Sus scrofa: one gene and its partners. The protein of the gene in region 1 binds, or shares a complex with, the protein of each later gene. Links are inferred from orthologs where the notes say so. Each region holds a gene or a part of one and is shown on either strand. Other genes may lie near its edges.

The links.
Region 2: CORO2A (region 1) and GPS2 share a complex: the UniProt entries of both Homo sapiens proteins name them as parts of the N-Cor repressor complex. The link is inferred for Sus scrofa from reciprocal best matches to the Homo sapiens genes CORO2A and GPS2.
Region 3: CORO2A (region 1) and HDAC3 share a complex: the UniProt entries of both Homo sapiens proteins name them as parts of the N-Cor repressor complex. The link is inferred for Sus scrofa from reciprocal best matches to the Homo sapiens genes CORO2A and HDAC3.

What each region holds. Positions count from the first base shown.
Region 1 is NC_010443.5:239,955,355-239,960,607, reverse strand, and holds part of CORO2A (coronin-2A), read left to right. Parts: intron 1-76; coding exon 77-193; intron 194-1,216; coding exon 1,217-1,366; intron 1,367-3,052; coding exon 3,053-3,232; intron 3,233-3,964; coding exon 3,965-4,081; intron 4,082-4,812; coding exon 4,813-4,917; intron 4,918-5,253.
Region 2 is NC_010454.4:52,663,994-52,669,816, forward strand, and holds GPS2 (G protein pathway suppressor 2), read right to left. Parts: upstream 3,651-5,823; 5' UTR 3,540-3,650; exon of another isoform or gene 3,431-3,539; intron 3,354-3,430; 5' UTR 3,285-3,353; coding exon 3,191-3,284; intron 2,819-3,190; coding exon 2,709-2,818; intron 2,632-2,708; coding exon 2,519-2,631; intron 2,384-2,518; coding exon 2,304-2,383; intron 2,217-2,303; coding exon 2,134-2,216; intron 1,959-2,133; coding exon 1,805-1,958; intron 1,698-1,804; coding exon 1,608-1,697; intron 1,502-1,607; coding exon 1,422-1,501; intron 1,336-1,421; coding exon 1,240-1,335; intron 1,067-1,239; coding exon 983-1,066; 3' UTR 876-982; downstream 1-875. Other genes in the region: EIF5A (eukaryotic translation initiation factor 5A-1), read left to right, coding at 38-223. UniProt on the Homo sapiens protein: Key regulator of inflammation, lipid metabolism and mitochondrion homeostasis that acts by inhibiting the activity of the ubiquitin-conjugating enzyme UBE2N/Ubc13, thereby inhibiting 'Lys-63'-linked ubiquitination.
Region 3 is NC_010444.4:143,284,100-143,289,940, forward strand, and holds the start of HDAC3 (histone deacetylase 3), read right to left. Parts: upstream 3,323-5,841; 5' UTR 3,235-3,322; coding exon 3,180-3,234; intron 3,072-3,179; coding exon 2,989-3,071; intron 1,688-2,988; coding exon 1,545-1,687; intron 1-1,544. Other genes in the region: RELL2 (RELT-like protein 2), read left to right, coding at 4,705-4,888, 5,254-5,319, 5,410-5,476. UniProt on the Homo sapiens protein: Histone deacetylase that catalyzes the deacetylation of lysine residues on the N-terminal part of the core histones (H2A, H2B, H3 and H4), and some other non-histone substrates.

The DNA of each region.
Region 1 (5,253 bases):
TTGCTGAGTGACCATCCAGATGCTAAGGTGGAAGTAGCCCCCTGCCCTCCCCAACCTTCCTGGGCACTTTTTTCAGACAGGAAAGTTGGACCCCCACTACCCGAAGGTCTGCGGACACAGAGGGAACGTCTTAGACGTCAAGTGGAATCCTTTTGATGATTTTGAGATCGCCTCCTGTTCAGAAGATGCCACGGTGAGCGTCAGTGCGTGAGGCGGTTCCCTTTTCCGAGAGGACTAGGACTGGGACAGAGGGAGACAGAGGGTGTCTGGACTCAGCTCCAACACTCCTGACTCCTTCATCCTTCATGAGGTGAGGTCACTGTGTGCAGAGGGGGTAAGTTAGATTGAGGAGGAGAAGTTCTGGGCTCTGTGGGACTTGGGGCTCCACCCCTGCTCTCTATGGGCCTCAATCCTCCCTCTATAAGATGGGCATAATAGCTCCCACCATCTAAGGAAGATTCAGTGAGATTCATTTTCTAATGGGAAAGCCCATCTTTTGGAAAAACTTTGTCACCCTCTGCAGCATCGCTCTGTGCCTCCATTTCTCTGCCTCCATGAAGGGGAGCTTATTTTCTACCATGTAAGCCCCTTCCATCCTCAACAACCCTACTCTGGAAGGAAGCTGCAGCCCCTCCTACGAGGCCCTCACTGTGAAATATAAGCCTGTGACCCCATCCAACCCTGCCTTCTGGCCTTGAGTCTTTTCTCTTCCAGGACATCCAAAGGGCCCCTATAAACGAAGAGGTTTTCCCTGCCCTGTCTTGCTCCAGAGACAGCTCTGGCTCCCTAATGGCCTGAGGAAATAGCATAAACTCTTCCCCTTGGCATTCGAAGCTATACCCTAAGCCTTTGGGACCAGGATGGGGTAGCCTACTGTACTTTAAGGGATATTCTAGGCTGGGACGCCAATATGCTCTGACATCCAGCCTGGGAATCAGGCCTGTGTCCCATCCATTCACCCACTGCCTCAGGTCATTAGGATTGCAAGGATTATCAGAGGCCTGGGCTCACCTCCAGCCCCTGCTGAGGCTGGAGGACCTTAGCTAAGCCCCTGTCCCTCTGAGGGATCCCAGCTGCCTCTCCACTGAGTGACATGTAGATACAGAGAGTTCTCCTGGCCCTTCTGCTGAGCACTGCCTGTTCTGTAGCTTGGGGTTGTGGGGATACCGAGGTAACCCTGGCTAACACTGCCCTTGGGCTGTGTCTCCCCTGACAGATTAAAATCTGGGACATCCCCAAGCAGCTGATGACAAAGAACCTCACAGCCTGCAAGAAGGAGCTGGTTGGCCACGCCCGCAGAGTGGGCCTGGTGGAGTGGCACCCCACAGCCGCCAACATCCTCTTCAGCTCCGGCTATGACTACAAGGTAGGTCTGTATGTTAGCTTCCTGAGGCTGCCTTGACACAGGACCAAATCAAGTGGGTTAAGACAACAGAAATGTATTCTCAGGAGTTCCTGTAGTGGTGCAATGGAAACGAATCCAACTAGTATCCGTGAGGACTCAGGTTCGATCCTTGGCCTCGCTCAGAAGGTTAAGGATCTGGTGTTGCTGTGAGCTGTGGTGTAGGTCACAGATGAGGCTCGGATCCTACGTTGCTATGGCTGTAGTGTAGGCAGGCAGTTGCAGCTCCGATTAGACCCCTAGCCTGGGAATTTCCATAGGCCACCCATGCCCTAAAAAGAGCAAAACAGACAAACAAATGGATTCTCACACAGTTCTGGAGACCAGAAATCCAAAATCAGGGTGTTAGGAGGGTCATACTTTTTCCAAAGACTCTAGGGCAGAATCCTGTGCTTCTTCTAGCTTCTAGTGGTTCCAAGCATTCTTTGATTTGTAGCTGGACCACTCCAATCCGCTTCTGTCTTCTGCCTTCTCTGTGTATCTGCGTCCTCTCCTCTTCTTATAAGGACCTGAGTCACTGGATTTAGGGTCCACCCAAACCCAGTGTGACCTCATTGTAACTCATTACATCCTCAAAGACCCATTTCCAAATAATATGACATTCTGAGTTCCAGGTAGACATGAGTTTTGGGGGTCACTATTCAATCCATTGTCTTCCTGGAGAGAATGTGAAGCATCACACCTGGAGAAGCCTCCCCCTGCTCCATTGACTGCCAAGCTAACAAGCTGGAAGCCCTGTGGATGGGGAACCTGCCAGCATATGGAATATCTCAAGCTAGGGGTTGAATCAGAGCTGCAGCTCTTGGCCTACACCACAGCCACAGCAATGCAGGGATCAAGCTATGTCTGCAACATACATAAGAGCTCATGGCGACACTGGATCCTTAACCCACTGAGCGGGGGCCAGGGATCGAACCCGCATCTTCATGGATAAGGGTTGGGTTCGTTAACACTGAGCCACAACTGGAACTCCCAAGGAGACCTAGATTCTTTTTTTTTTTTTTTTTTTTTTTTGTCTTTTTGTCTTTTTGTTGTTGTTGTTGTTGTTGCTATTTCTTGGGCCACTCTCTGTAGGGCTTTACAGATGTAGCTCAGGGCCTCAGTGATGGATAAGAGGATGGGATAGGAGTGGCTGAGAGGACCTTTTCCGCTTTCTGATCAGACATGCTTTATTATCTGTTTATGTAGGGTATGCTATTGCCTATAGTTATACAGTGTATTCTGCACACAACTCCAGGGGGCACTATTTACATTATAGACTATGGGAATGGGTTTCCCCAGAGCTGTGCAGCACACAGCCTGTGCAGCTCACCACGGCAGCCCCTTTTACCTGTGTGGTGGAAATGGTTGCTAATGACTGAACCCTCCAGACGAGCCAGTCCCGTTGGGTCCTCCCAGCATGGATGTTTCACTGCTCCAAACAGATGGTGTTTTCTTTTCACGGCCAGATAGCCTGACTCCCAGCCTCCCCCTCCTGCCACATGGCAGCCTTAGCCGGCAGATCCATCCTCCCACCTGAGGCCTCTTGGCCAGACTGCCATCTGTGGCTTCCCTCCTGGGGATACCGCGTTTCACTGCAGCCTGGCTGGTGTGTGAGTCTGGGTGGGGTGGGGTGCCTGCTGTGCTCAGAGCCGGCTCGCTGCCATGTAGGTGATGGTCTGGAACCTGGATACAAAGGAGTCTGTAATCATGAGCCCCGTGAGGACCATTACCTGTCACCAAGACGTGATCCTCTCCATGTCCTTCAACACCAACGGCAGCCTGCTGGCCACTGCCTGTAAAGACCGAAAGATTCGGGTTCTCGACCCCCGAGCAGGGGCTGTGCTCCAGGTCAGTGCTGGGCTGGTGTCTGGCTCGGGGTGGGAGGAGCAAGGAATGGAGTGGGAACGGGGGAGGTTTCTGAGAACAGGGCAGTAATGCCGTCCGTGGTTCTGGTCAAGCCAGATGCGTGATCCCATCTGCTGGGAGGTGTAGACGATGCCATCCCCATTTTTCAGATGAGGCAACTGAAGCCAAAGAGGCTAAGTGACTTGCTGGCCCATATCAGAAGCTGGGACTTGAACCTGGTCTACCTCCAAAGCTTGTCACTATGCCTCGGCTCTGTCAGGAGGCATGGCATGGTGTCAAGAGACCTCAGGGCACCACTGTTTATCCACTATGAGACCTTAGACAAGCACGTACTGCTCTCTGAGCCTCTATTTTCTCATCTGCAGCAATGGACCACTAGTCCTTCCTCTGGGAGGATTAAATGAGATAAGCCAAGTGCCAGGGCCCACCCAGCCCCATGCCTTGCATATAGTGGGTACTCCGTCATAATCTTCTAGAAGAACATGGAGCTGGGCCAGAATTTGCTTCTGTTCTAGCTCAGAAAAAGAACTCTATAAACAAAAATAGTGGGAGAGATTCCCTGCGGATGGGAGAGACCCAAGAAGGCTTCCTGGAGGTGGTATCTCTAGCATGATTCTCCAGGCAGAGCTGGGACGGGAAAGGAAGGAATTCCAGGTGGAGAAGTAGCAGAAGCAAAGGCAGGGACTCCCTGGCTACACATGTCCACCCCTGCAGGAAGCCAGTTACAAGGGGCACCGGGCCAACAAAGTGCTGTTTCTGGGGAACCTGAAGAAGCTGCTGTCCACGGGCACATCCCGATGGAACAACCGGCAGATGGCCCTGTGGGATCAGGTGAGTCTTTTGAGCAACCCCACCAGCGCCCCCTCAGCTGCGCCCTGACGTCATTTGTTCATTCACGCGTGCACTGGCTGATGGGATTGATTGATGAAAACCAGGGAGACGCCGCTAACAGCCTGCTGGTGCCTGCCCAGACCTTGCGCCTCTTGTCATTCAAGGACGGGGAGGGGTCAGGACCCAGGGGAAGCCTCCGTGTGGGGGAGGGGAGCTGGCTGGGTCAGGGACTAGGATTGAGGGGATGGGAGGAGAGGGCCTTCTGAGAGGAGGGAACAGCTGGAGTGATGACTTGGAATGAAATAGGGAGGCGTGTGTGCCTGGTCAAGGCCCTTGGGGCGGTGGGGGCGGGGGGGGGGGGTTGAAGGAGGAGCCAGGCCAAGTAGGATTGTTTTGAAGGAGCCCTTGGCCAGAGTTGGACAAATCACTTCCCCTCTCTCTGAATCTCCTTCTACTATAGTAGATCTAAAGCAGGAGGGCGAGGGCTGGAGTGACATCATGTGTTTGAGAAGTGATTCATTAAAGGCAAAAGGCTGGAAAGAGAAAAGGTGGGGATCTTTCTCTCTCTTTCTCTCTCTCTCTCTCTCACACACACACACACACACACACACACACACATACACGCATGCACATGCACACACAGCCCTGTGGGAGGAAATCTTATCTCAGAGAACACCATCAAGGCCTCTGTGAGGGACCCACGGGCCTTCCTGGTCTCCCTTCCCTTGCAGGACGACCTCTCTGTGCCTCTCACGGAGGAGGACCTGGATGGCTCCTCAGGTGTGCTGTTTCCCTTCTATGACCCGGACACCAACATGCTCTACGTGGTGGGGAAGGTCAGTCTGGCACGGGATGGAGGTGGCTGCCTGGACCCCTGAGGCGGGAGGCAGAACTACCCCAAGCCTAGTCCCTTTGGTGACCAGACAGCAGCCTGGGACCCTTGGGGTGCAGGGCAGGGGCAGGGGCAGGGGCAGGCAAGAGTGGCTGGATACTCTCACCCCTGCTGAGTCCCCACCTTTCTGGCTCCACAGGAACACCTGGGGCCAGGACTTTGGGCAGCCACCCTGAGCTAGACCCTCCCCAGTTCTGGGTCCAGATGAGAAAGGACCAGTTGGTGTTTCTCAGCAGTGGCACCTTCCAATTTGGAGCAGAGTGGGTCTTCATTGAGTAGG
Region 2 (5,823 bases), on another chromosome or scaffold:
TTTGCCCTGTCTCACCTGGTTTCTCTCTCCTACTCAGGGTGGCTGTGGTGGCAGCAGTGATCCTTCAGCCTGCAGAGGCCCTTTCCCCCAGCCTGGCCCAGCTCTGGCTTGGCCCTTGGCTGGACTCCTACATGACTTATTTGACGTTTTATTTTGGTTTCCCTACCCCCTCAATCTGTCGGGGAGCCCCTGCCCTTCACCCTGCTCCCTTGGCCAGGAGTGAGCGAACCATGGCCTTGGCGAAGCTGCCCTCCTCCTCTCCCCTCACACTACAGCCCTGGTGGGGGAGAGGGGGTGGGTGCTGCTTGTGGTTTAGTTTTTCTTTCTTCCTTTTTTTTTTTTTTTTTTTTTTTTTAATTCAACCTGGAATCAGAAAGCTGTGGATTCTGGCAAATGGTCCTTGTGCCCTTCCCACACTCGTCCCTGGTCTGGTCCCTTACTCCCCCATAGCCCTTTATCCCAAGCACCACCCCAACAGACTGGGGACCAGCCCCCTCCCCTGCTGATGTCTCTCCCCAAGTCCCTTTAGATGGGAGGGAAGAGGAGGAGAGGGGAGGGGACCTGCCCCCTCCTCAGGCATCTGGGAGGGCCCTGCCCCCCATGGGCTTCACCCTTTCCTGCGGGCTCTCTCCCCGACACATTTGTTAAAAATCAAACCTGAATAAAACTACAAGTTTAATATGAAGCCCCCAACTCAGCTGCTTCTTTGAATTAAATGGTATTTGCTGACCGGGAAGTCAATGTGGAAATGAGAAAGTGATTGGTAATCTGCTGTCCCACTGTGATTCCTGCGTCCTGCGGACCTGCCGCCCACTCCCACCCCCACCCCCACCCCAGGCAGCCCAGTGGGAGGTAACACAGACAGTAGCAGCATCGGGGGCAGTGGCAGGTAGATTTTATTGGCCTGGGACTGAGGCACACCAGGGATCCTCCCCCACAGTAGGGGGCAGGGGCTGGGAGCGAGGTTGATAGACTCTGATGGTCACTTGTGGTAGAATCGCGGGTTCTGGCTGTGCTGGATGAAGGGGAGCCGAGGGCCAGGCTGGCTGGTGGTTGCAAAGCCCGACTGGCAGCAGTAATGAGAGGAGGGCTTTGTCAGTGCGCGCCCTTCCCCTTCCTTCTACTCCCGCAGGGGACTGACAGCCATGGCAGAGGAGGAGGGAAAAAGGGGGGCAGGGACCACCTGTCCTACCCAGTCCTTTTTTCAACTTGGTGATGTAGGCATTCTGGTGGGCTTACCTTTCCTGCTGGTTGCATCTGCACAGGGAGCTGGGGTGAGGCAAGCAGTCCAGGGGCTGGATGCAGAGCTTGGGGATGCATGGGGCGTAGGGAGGACTGCAGAGAACAAAGTCAGCTGAGGCAGCCTGGGGCTCCCCTTAGTGTGGGCAGCCCTTCCCCTGACTTCCCAAGATTTTACTCACTGAGTCAGAGAAGCCAGTTTGTTGGTTAGCGTGTTCCATCTGCTTTTGTAAGGACAGGGCGCCACCGGGCTGGAGGAAGCCTAGGTGGGGAGGAAGGGTGTGTGAGGTGAGTAGAGAAAGGAGGCGAAGAGGAAGGGAGGAGGACCGCTGGAACTGGGCCCCTGCGTGGTGTCTGTCTACCATCACCTGTCTGGGTGGGCTGAAAGTGGCTGTGCACAGCATAGGGCTGTGGCTGTGGCTGAGACAGGTACTGCACTGCAGGAAATGCCGAAGGTGCTGAGGAAGGCAGGAGACAGCCATTAGGACCTCCTGGTAGCCTGTTCACAACACTCCTCCCTTAGAGCCTTGAGGAATGCCCCTCCTCCCCTTTGCCCAAGGCTCACCTCTGAGCTGCTGACTAGGACTATAGGCAGGCTGGGTGGGTCCATAGTGAGGTGGGGGCTGAGCAGTCCCATAGGCGCCGCCGGGGCTGCCTTGGAACTGCCCATGCTCCGGGGTCCCTGCGAAAGCAGCTGCTGAGCCCACGTAGTGTCGGTTCTAAGGAGGGAGGACGAGAACCACTGTAAACTCCATGAAGCAAAAACTTGAGTGACTGAAAGCCCCATTTCCCCAACACACTCATGACTTGAATGCTGGTTGGGTAAGGATGCGAGGCCGGCTGGAAGTAGCGGGAGTAAATGACAGCCTAGATACCCAGTCCTCCTGCTCTTACTGTAAGCACTTGGGGGCCGAACATCTGTTTGGCTCTGTCAGCTGCCATGAGGGTGCCTGGCCGATTGTGTCCTCCGGGGCTCCCTAGAGGGAGACGGGCTTGTGATGCTGCAAGAAGAGGCTGCAACCCCCAGGAAGGCCCATCTGACAAGTGGTTTCTTTAATCCTCACCCTGCATGCTGAGGAGGTGAGTTCCTGTGTGAACAGTCAGGCCTTGCTGGTATGCTGCCGATGTCAGAGTGGTCAGGTCACTGAACAAGAGGCAGGCACATCAGATCAAAGGCAAGCCTTTTCCCCTCTCCGCTCCCGCAAAAAACTTGATCTCTTGTTACCTGATCCCAGTTAGACTTTGGGCCCCAATTTTATTTTTAGCTGCCCAATCTCACCTCTGCTCCTTCCGCCTCCGTTTTTCTTCCTCATGTAAAACTTTCTTGAGCTGCAGGAAAAGCTGGTGCTTCTCTTCCTGGAGGGCCGAAAGCTTCTCCTGCAACTTCAGGATCTGGGAAGGAAGGAGAGGGATGAAAGCAAGAGAGCCAAGGGCAGAAAGGGCTGGGGAGAGATCAAGGGACTGCTTACTTGTTCCTTGGTCTCCTCTAGTGACATTCTCTCTTCCATTTCCTTTTTTTTCCTTCTCTCCTGCTCTTCCTTCATCTTTTGTTCCATCATCTTGTCCACCTCTTCTTCCTCTGGAAGAGTCAGAGTCAGGCAGAATGGGGAAGTGGCAGAGTGGTTAAAAGATTAGAATGTTAGCGATTGAAAGCCAGCAAAAACTGGTATCCCACTACACTTGGTACGAACTCTTTCCCTCTAAAAGAAACAGGTTTGCCCACCACTGCAAGAGGACACTGGGGACAGGGAAGTTTGTTAGGTGCTCTCCAAGGTCCTTGCCAGCTCACGGTTCTGGAGTTTAGATCTGGCCTCAGACTCCCGCCACGTCGGGGCTATCGGTCCCTCCTCTAGCTGTGGCCGCCGCGCAGGGTCTGCCCGTAGGTCGGGGTCAGCCCCGGGAGAGCAGCGCGCCCCGGGCCGTGCGTCCTCCCGCTCTGGCCCCAGCTCACCCTGCCGCTTGCGCTCCCGCTCCATCATGATGTGCCGGTGCAACGCCCTGGCCATGGCGTTGGAAAGCTTGGGGCGCTCCAGGAGCGCAGGCATGGTGCTGCTGGGGGCGCTCGGGCCGTGGACGCCCGGCTCTGTCACTGGCTGCCAGACCTCAGACCGGGCCTGCGGGGAGGCGGGCGCTCAGAGGGAGCGGACCAGGCCGGGGCGGAAGCCACTCGCCCGCCGCCCCGGTCACGTGCCTGCCGCCGGGCCGGCCTAACAGCGCGGCTCCTCCGCGAGCGCGGGCGGGGGTCTCGGCCTCGGCGCTCCCGCTCCCTGCCCGCTACCCGGGCGCCGGCCCCTCCCTACCCGTCTTCTCGTCGCTTTCTCCGCGGCCTCCCGAGCGCCTGGGCCGTGGCGTCACATCCGGCCGCTGGGCCGAATCCTTCCGGAGTCGAGGCTGTCGCGGCGCTCGCGGGCCGGCGGGGCGGGGCGGGAAGGCGGAAGCGCGGGCGACGGGTGCCCGCGGCGTCCAAACGCCTCCGCTGCGCCCCGCCCGGCGTCGACCCCGAGGGCGGAGCCCCTGACGTGGCGGGGCCGGGTCTCCTCCCGGGTCGGGGCGGGGGGGACCGAGAGGCGCGCGCGCGAGAGGCCAAGGCGGCTGCTCTGAGACGGCGTTTATTGGCTCCTTAGAAATCAGAGTCAGTAACAACTGTACAGAGGCCCCGACCCGCGCCCGCCTTCCCCACTCCCGCCCGGCCCGGAAAAGCAGCTTCGTGTGGGGCGCGGGGAGGCGCCTCTGGCCTTCACAGTAACCAGGAACAGAAACGGAAATAAATTAAGTGTAGGGGGAGGAGTGGCGGGGAGGCGCGCTCCCCAGATCAGTGCATGGAGAGGGTTCCCCAGGGCCGGCGGCCGGACCCCTCGCCGCCCTCGCCTCGAGGGGCTGTCCAGTCCCGGCCCCGGGCGCTCCTCTGCGAGCCCGCCTACATGCTCCTGTGCATCTGCCAGGCTGAGCACCGTGCATGCCGCGCGTCACTGGAATGAGGTGGAGGCAGTCGTCACTCAGAGTCCACGGGCCCAAGGCCCTGCTGTGCTTGTCGTAGTGCGGTGTCACCCCTCATTCCACCCGTACCAGCAGGGCATAGAGGAGCGTGGCCCCCTTCTCCTTGGTCACCCACTCGAGTTCAGCTGGGCTGAAGTGAGGGTCGGGAGGCTCTCTGAGGGCAGCAGAAGGGGGCCCGGGGGTGTAGGAGCCAGGGCGCACGCACACCTGGAACGCCACCTGGGCCTGGTGCGTCCGCTGGGATTTGGGGTCCCGGAATCTGGCAGGCAAGAAGCAGAAACGGGACAGTGAGGCCTCTGCTCCCAGTACCCCTCGCTCTTGCTGGCTGCAACCACCGCCCTGACGGTGACCGCGAGCCTGAGCAGCTGGCCTTGCTGTTGCCAGGCATCAGCCCCTCCTTACTGGGACTTGGCTCCGCCCTTTCCTCCCAAGGGTCTTCCTCCCATGCCCGCTCCCCTCGCTCCCTCCCCTCCCCTCTCCAGGCCTTTGCTCAAATCCCACCTTCTTCTTTTTTTAGGCCCGTTCCCATGGCATAAGGAGATTCCCAGGCTAGGGGTCTAATTAGAGCTGTAGCCACCGGCCTACGCCAGAGCCACAGCAAGTGGGATCCGAGCCACATCTGCAACCTACACCACAGCTCACGGCAACGCCGGATCCTTAACCCACTGAGCAAGGCCAGGGATGGAACCCGAAACCTCACGGTTCCTAGTCGGATTCATTAACCACTGAGTCACGACGGGAACTCCAAATCCCACCTTCTTAATGACGTCTGCCGCCACTACCCTATTTCATAGGCCGGGTCCTGCCACGCTTCTGATCCACCTCACTCCACTCTACATTTTGTTTCCATAGTATTTACATGTCACCTTCAAAGATACTAACTACTAAACACTCATTAGGCACAAACACTCCAGAGCAAGAGAGGGCAGAAGTTCCACGTGGCTAGGGTTCCCTTTTTTGTTCTGTGTGATAGGACCAAGTAAGAGGTCTTTGTTCAAAGACTGTGTGAGGGCTGGGTGGAGATGGGCTGGGAAGGAGGGTAACACCAGATCTGAGCAGCCCTGGGCCCCTCCCAGGTACTCACTGCACTTTGGATGCCAGGGTCTCGGCCCCGGCATATTGGAGGGAGGGGGAAAGCAGCACTGGAGGGGGCTGCTCCTCTCGGGGAGGCGCGCAGTTCTCACCAGGCTCCTCAAAGCCTCCCCCAGGCTCTCCCTTCAAGGGCCGGCAGCTCAGGATGGAAGCGGTACCTGTGAAGAGAGCGGGGTAAGGGCAGCCCGCCCATGGCCCACCCGCCCGGCCTGCCCCGCCTCTGCTGGCACCGTGGTACCTGCTCCCAGCTCCCCCCGGTCTAGCACCCTCCGCACGGCTGCCACGTTGCTCCCGTGATACGCCATGTGCCACTTCTTGGTTAGTGTCCCAGCCTCCAGGCGGGGATTCACCCTAGGAGGGGGACAGAGAGGGCAGATGGGGCAAAGGTCCCTGTCTCCACAGGGTCATCCCCCAAGCAAGAAGACACCCTCCTGGGACCTTCGTTTCTCAAGGGGGCAGGGGACCGTGAGGGAGATGCACGACCCTGTCCCATGT
Region 3 (5,841 bases), on another chromosome or scaffold:
AAAAAAAAAAGTTACCAGACAATTGGAGAGATTTAAATACTGATTGCATATATGATGATACTAAGGACTTACTGTTAACTTTTCAGGAGTGTGTGCATTTTTAAAAAGAGTATCATTTGAAAATATAGAGTTGGAGTTCCCGTTGTGGCTCAGTGGTAACAACCCAACTAGTAACCATGAGGTTGCAGGTTCGATCCCTGGCCTCGCTCAGTGGGTTAAGGATCCCGTGTTGCCATGAGCGGTGGTGTAGGTCGCAGATGCGTCTTGGATCCTGCGTTGCTGTGGTTGTGGTAATAGGTCGGCAGCTGTAGCTCCGATTTGACCCCCCAGCCTGGGAACCTCTATGTGCCGAGGGAGCAGCCCTCAAAACAAAAGGAAAGAAAAAGAGTGTACTTATAGATAAAAGGCTGTAACATCTGGGATCTGCTTCAAAAGAATCTAAGGTGAGAGGATATAGATGACGTAAGATTAGCACTTGGTGTGAGTGTCACGGCTGGGTGACGGGTATGTGGGGGGACACTGTACCTTCTACTTTCAGCAATGTTTTCCCTAATAAGTTTAAAAATGGACTGAGTCAGTGGTAGCTATTGTGGTCAGTGTATTTTCGTGGATGAAGGCGAGAACATAAGCAAGGAGGAAGACTTCTCTTCGTTATCCGCTCTCTTCCCACAGGGCCCACCTCTGAGTCTACTTCGTATGATCTAAGCCCAACGTAAACCATATGACAGAAGGTCCTGTCCAATCATGCTCCTGCTTCTTAAAGCACTTTGATGACCTCCCTCTACTCTAGACATAAAAACCCCAAGTCACAGTCGGGCCATTTATTTATTTATTTACTTTGGCTGCACCTGCAGCATGTGGAAGTTCCTGGGCCAGGGATCAAATCCAAGCCACAGCTGCAACCTGTGCCACTGCTGCAGCAACGCTGGATCTTTACCCCACTGGACCACAGCAGGAACTCCAAGGCCGTTTATTTGTTACAGGCCCTGCCTCTCTCTTCAGCCTCAATTCAGATCGCTCTTCGGATTTTGCGGGTGGCTTTTTTTCTGTTCCTCAAATGAGTCACACTCTGTCATACCCCAGGCCCTTCGCACATTGTCCCGACTGCCCTCGACCTTCCTCCCCTTACCCTCCATCCTCCCAGCAACCGTTCACTTAATTACCTCCTGCTTCCTTCCGATCTCAGCTCAACCTTTATGACTTTTTCTAGGAAGCCTCCAGCCCACGCCCAGGCTAGATGGTTCTCCCGTGTTTAAACCCTCATAGCCTGTCGGGTACCTCTCCTTCGGAGGACTCGGCACAAATGCAATACTGAAACTGTGTTGCCGTTGCTGTTTACCACTGCATCCCCAGCACTTAGCACCGGGCCTGGCCCAGGGCGAATGACCAATAAATATTTGTTGAATAAACAAATGAGTAAACGACAATTCACTGACAAGTATCCTCTCCCCTGGCGCGTTCACATCTTCCCACTGCAGCCACAAGGCCCCACTCGAGTATTCTCGCTGAAATGCCTGGCACCAAAGGTCCCAGTCCCCCCTCACCAGTCATCGCCCACGTTGAAGGCATTCAGGCTCTTGGTGAAGCCTTGCATGTTGGTGGGACTGACTCTCTGCAGGAAGTCAATGTAGTCCTCAGAGTGGAAGCGGCACATGTCATGCTGGGAGGCCTGGTACGGCTTGAAGACCTCGGGATGGAAACACAAGGAGAACCCGGGCAGGGTCAGTCCCACTGGTTGGGCTGAGACCCCCACCCCGAACCCAGCCCTGGGGACCATCCAAAACCACACACAGCAGTCCCCTTGCCCCTGAATCCTTGTTATTCTATGAGACAAAGTTCGATGAGGAAGAAAGACTGATTAGCCCGGTCGTTTATAATGATCAAGCCCCCTAAAGACCATGCGGCTCGCCTTTTCCCTCCAACCTCCAGCCCAGCCTTTCCTACCTTCTCGAACCGTAACCCCGTTCAACCTGCCCTGATCCCTGGATCTCTTACTCCTGATTCTCTTCATAGTCATCCCCCCAGAGCTCTGATTCTGTCCTCTCTCTCCTCTGAGTTCTTAATTTTGGAGTCAAATAATATGGAACATATAACAACCCTCTAACTAAAAACAGATGCCCAGGTGCTAAGCCAGAGATTTACCATCTTTTGAGGGACTCACACGCTTCTTTAGAAACCAAACAAAATGTTTTTCTCTCCCAGAAAAGGGCACAAACTGGCAAACAGTTTCAAGTGAGTCTGAGATTCACGCACCAACATCACCTCGGCCTCCTCTACGGCCAAATCACTTGTCAGTGCCTCAGCCTGGTGGGCACCCATTCATACTGTTGACTAATTCCCCTTGCAATGGCATAAGAGCCAAGGCGACATGTTATAATCACATATCACATCTATAACTTCCAAGCTGGGGACAGAGAGCATGTGCATATCCTGGCGATGGAGGGATGGGTAGTGATTAGTAGAACTGGGGGGGGGGGATTCCAGGTTGAAAAGAGAATACCCAGGACATCTCCTACGGTCCCCCCCACACACATACACACTTACACACAGGCTGCAGAGTCCTCTAGCCCCTTGGAGGTGGAGAGAGGTGTGGCAGAGGAAAAGGGGTGCCAGTGGGGGTAAATCTCATATTCAGATACAGTGATCCAGCCCCTTTCCCTTTGCTGAGGCCACAAAACTGCTCTAAGATGCTGGCGAGGGAAACACTTTCTGTATTCAAACCAGCCCCACTCCACCCCAACTCTAGGCCATGACCTGTCTACTTGAGGTCAAAGGCTGGCCGACCTAAAGTGAAAAAGGAACTCCCATTAAGCTCATGGATGCACCCACCAATACTCTGCATACGGGGGTCCTCCTGGTTCCTTCTATCCCGCCCTCCCCACGCTGGAGGTGGGTCGCTCTTGGGGCGTTCAGGGCAGCCAGCCTACCTATCCCTAGGGCCGCAGCTCGCCCCCACCCTCCATCCCCAGCAGAAGCCGCGAGACTCACGATCATCTTCTTATAAAGACCGTAGTGCAGGACCAGACTATGGGTCAAGGCCAAGCGATGGGGCTTCATAGGGTGCCCAGCCCCTGGGGGGTGGGAAAAGAGAGTGGGTCAGTTCCCATCCCTGGAGCTGTAGCCCCGCCCTGGAAACCTCCGCGTTCCGAAACCCCTCGCATACAACCTTGTTCCCTCACCGTAGTGGAAGTTGCCCACGTCGGGGTCGTAGAAATAGGCCACAGTCTTGGCCATGGTGCCAGCGGGACCAGGCCCCGCGCCTCCGCCGCCAGCCTGGCCGCCAGCCCCACCCCCGGTCGTGCGTGCTGCGTAAGCACGCAGCCAGTCTCTGCGGAACCCGGAGGCCCAAGCCCGCCTCCCGTAGGCCACGCCCAGGCCACGCCCCCTGCGGAGTTCCGCCCTCTCTGCTTGGCGGTTCTAGGTTATGGGGTGTTGAGTGTCTGGACTTGGCCGGAGGACCGCGCATTGGTCCTAGGATGCGAAGGCCATTTTCTTCCGGGCGGGGGTCAAATCCTCGGGAAGCCGAACCATTCTGTCCAGCCACCTGTCCCAAACCGGGTGCAAGCCGTGTCACCTCTCTAGGAGGCTCCTGATAACCGGCCGTGCTGTCCCTCTCCCATGCGGAAAGCCAGCTTCCCGCGGCCCGCTGGGAAGATTCTTGGCTACCCAAGCCGGCCGGGGCATCCGAGGGCAGGAGCCAAGCCAGGCGTGCCCGGTTGACCAGTGGAGAGCACCCTCGCTTGACTGACTGTCCTCTTCACCCGGACCCAGACTCGGCGCCGCACACCCCCCCGGAGGAGAAGGGGGGCAGCGCAGTCACGCGCGCACCACACTTGCGCTCACAAGCGCGCAAGGCTCTCGCTCTCCGCCCCGCACACCTGTGCTCCGCCCCCTGGTCCCGGGCGGGCGACGGTCGAAGGCTTGGGAACCCAAGGCTGCTGCGGCGGCGCCCCCCATCTCATTCCCTTCCCAGCGCTGGTATAGTCCGGAGCCTGTCGCCGGTCCCGACCAGCCCGCATCCCTCTCCATCCTTCCCTCCCCCCGCCTGCCGCGGCACCGGTATCTGCAGCCGCAGCCCGGAGCCCTTGAAGCGGCGAAGGGGGGAGGGGAAGGAAGCAAGGGATGAGCGCCGGGAGGGCGTCGGGGGCCCCGAGCCGGACTAGGACGCCCCTGGAGCCGGAACCCGAGCCGGAGCCGGAGCCAGAACCAAATCACCGGTACCGGGTGGGCCAGGTGGTCAGGATGGGGAGAACCGAAAGGCGGGAGGGGGTGTGTGTGCGATAGTACAGTCAGGGGAGTGAGCTGCGGAGGCCTGGCTCAGGCCGGCGCAGAGGTGTGGACGCTGACTCAGGCAGGGATCCCTGCGCCGGCCGCCTGAGAATTCCGTCCCATCTCGCTCTGCAGTGTCCTTGGGAGGGACGGAAGCGCAGGACAAGATGGAAAGGGGAACGCTCTGGGCGTCGGGAAAGCGGGACCAGGATAGTGGAAGAGGGTTTGCGCAGCCTCCATCTGGCACCCCTCCCTGGCCTGGACCAGCACCCCTGGCCCGGACAGCTCCCTGGTTGGGCAGAGGGTGGGGCCAGACCGCAGAAGCTTGGCTGTCACGGATCCTGAAGATGGCATTCCTATCCCTCCCCCCAACCCCTAGCTGCAGCCCCCTAGCCCCAGGAGGCGCCCTGGCCCGCGCTCGCCCCCCAGGGCCTCATGTCGGAACCACAGCCTGACCTGGAGCCGCCCCAACATGGGCTGTACATGCTCTTCCTGCTTGTGCTGGTCTTCTTTCTCATGGGCCTCGTAGGCTTCATGATCTGCCACGTGCTCAAGAAGAAGGGCTACCGCTGCCGCACCTCGAGGGGCTCGGAGCCTGACGACACCCAGTTGCAGCCCCGTGAGTGAACAGCCTAGACCCTGGCTCAGTCCCTTTTCTCTCTCACCCTTCTCCCCACACCTCTTAACCCAGGCCACATCCCACCCAAACTTTCAAGAGGCCTAGTAACATTTTCTTGAGTCCACGGCCCTAAAAGCAAGGCTAGAGAAGCAGAGCGCGGGGTGGGACCAGCCCACGATGGTAGTCTTGGATTCGCATTGATTTCTCCATCTTTTCTGCCCTGGCCCTTGAAATGCTAACCTACAGCCTGATGGCACATTGGCAAAGGGGTAGGTCTTGAGTAACAAGCCACAGAAGCCACCAGGTAATATACCCCCAAAGCTGACTCATTTGTCACTTCCCTGCCAACCGCCTTCATCCTTCAGCTGAGGACGATGACATGAATGAGGACACAGTGGAGAGGATTGTTCGCTGCATCATCCAAAATGAAGGTGGGTGTGGGCTGGCCCCGTGCCCCACCCTGACTGTCTCTTGCCCTGGCCTTTGCCTCCACTCACCCCCTCTTTTCCTTCTCCCCTCAGCCAATGCTGAGGCCTTAAAGGAGATGCTGGGGGACAGTGAAGGAGAAGGGACAGTGCAGCTGTCCAGGTGAGCTGGAAATGAGGGCCAGCACGATGTAGCTGGAGAGCACCCTCTCCGCCAGCACATTCCTCTCCCAGTCTCTTTGCATGTTTGGGGTGTGGGGGGAGCAAGGCTGGCTCACATACAGGAAGAAGGAAGTTTTGTAGAAAGGCTGAGTCCTTCAAACCACGTGGCTCTCTCTCCTGGCTCTCATCAAGCCTAACGTTCCCCCCCTTATGCCACTCCTCTGGGTCAAGCAGCGCCTGCTCTTGAGCCAACGGCCCTGGGAGGCAGAACACATGGTCTCTAACATCTTCATATTGAGTTTATTAGATAAAGACAAGAAAAGAATGTTGGGGCTTGAGGGACGTTGGCCACGTGGGGGCTTAAGG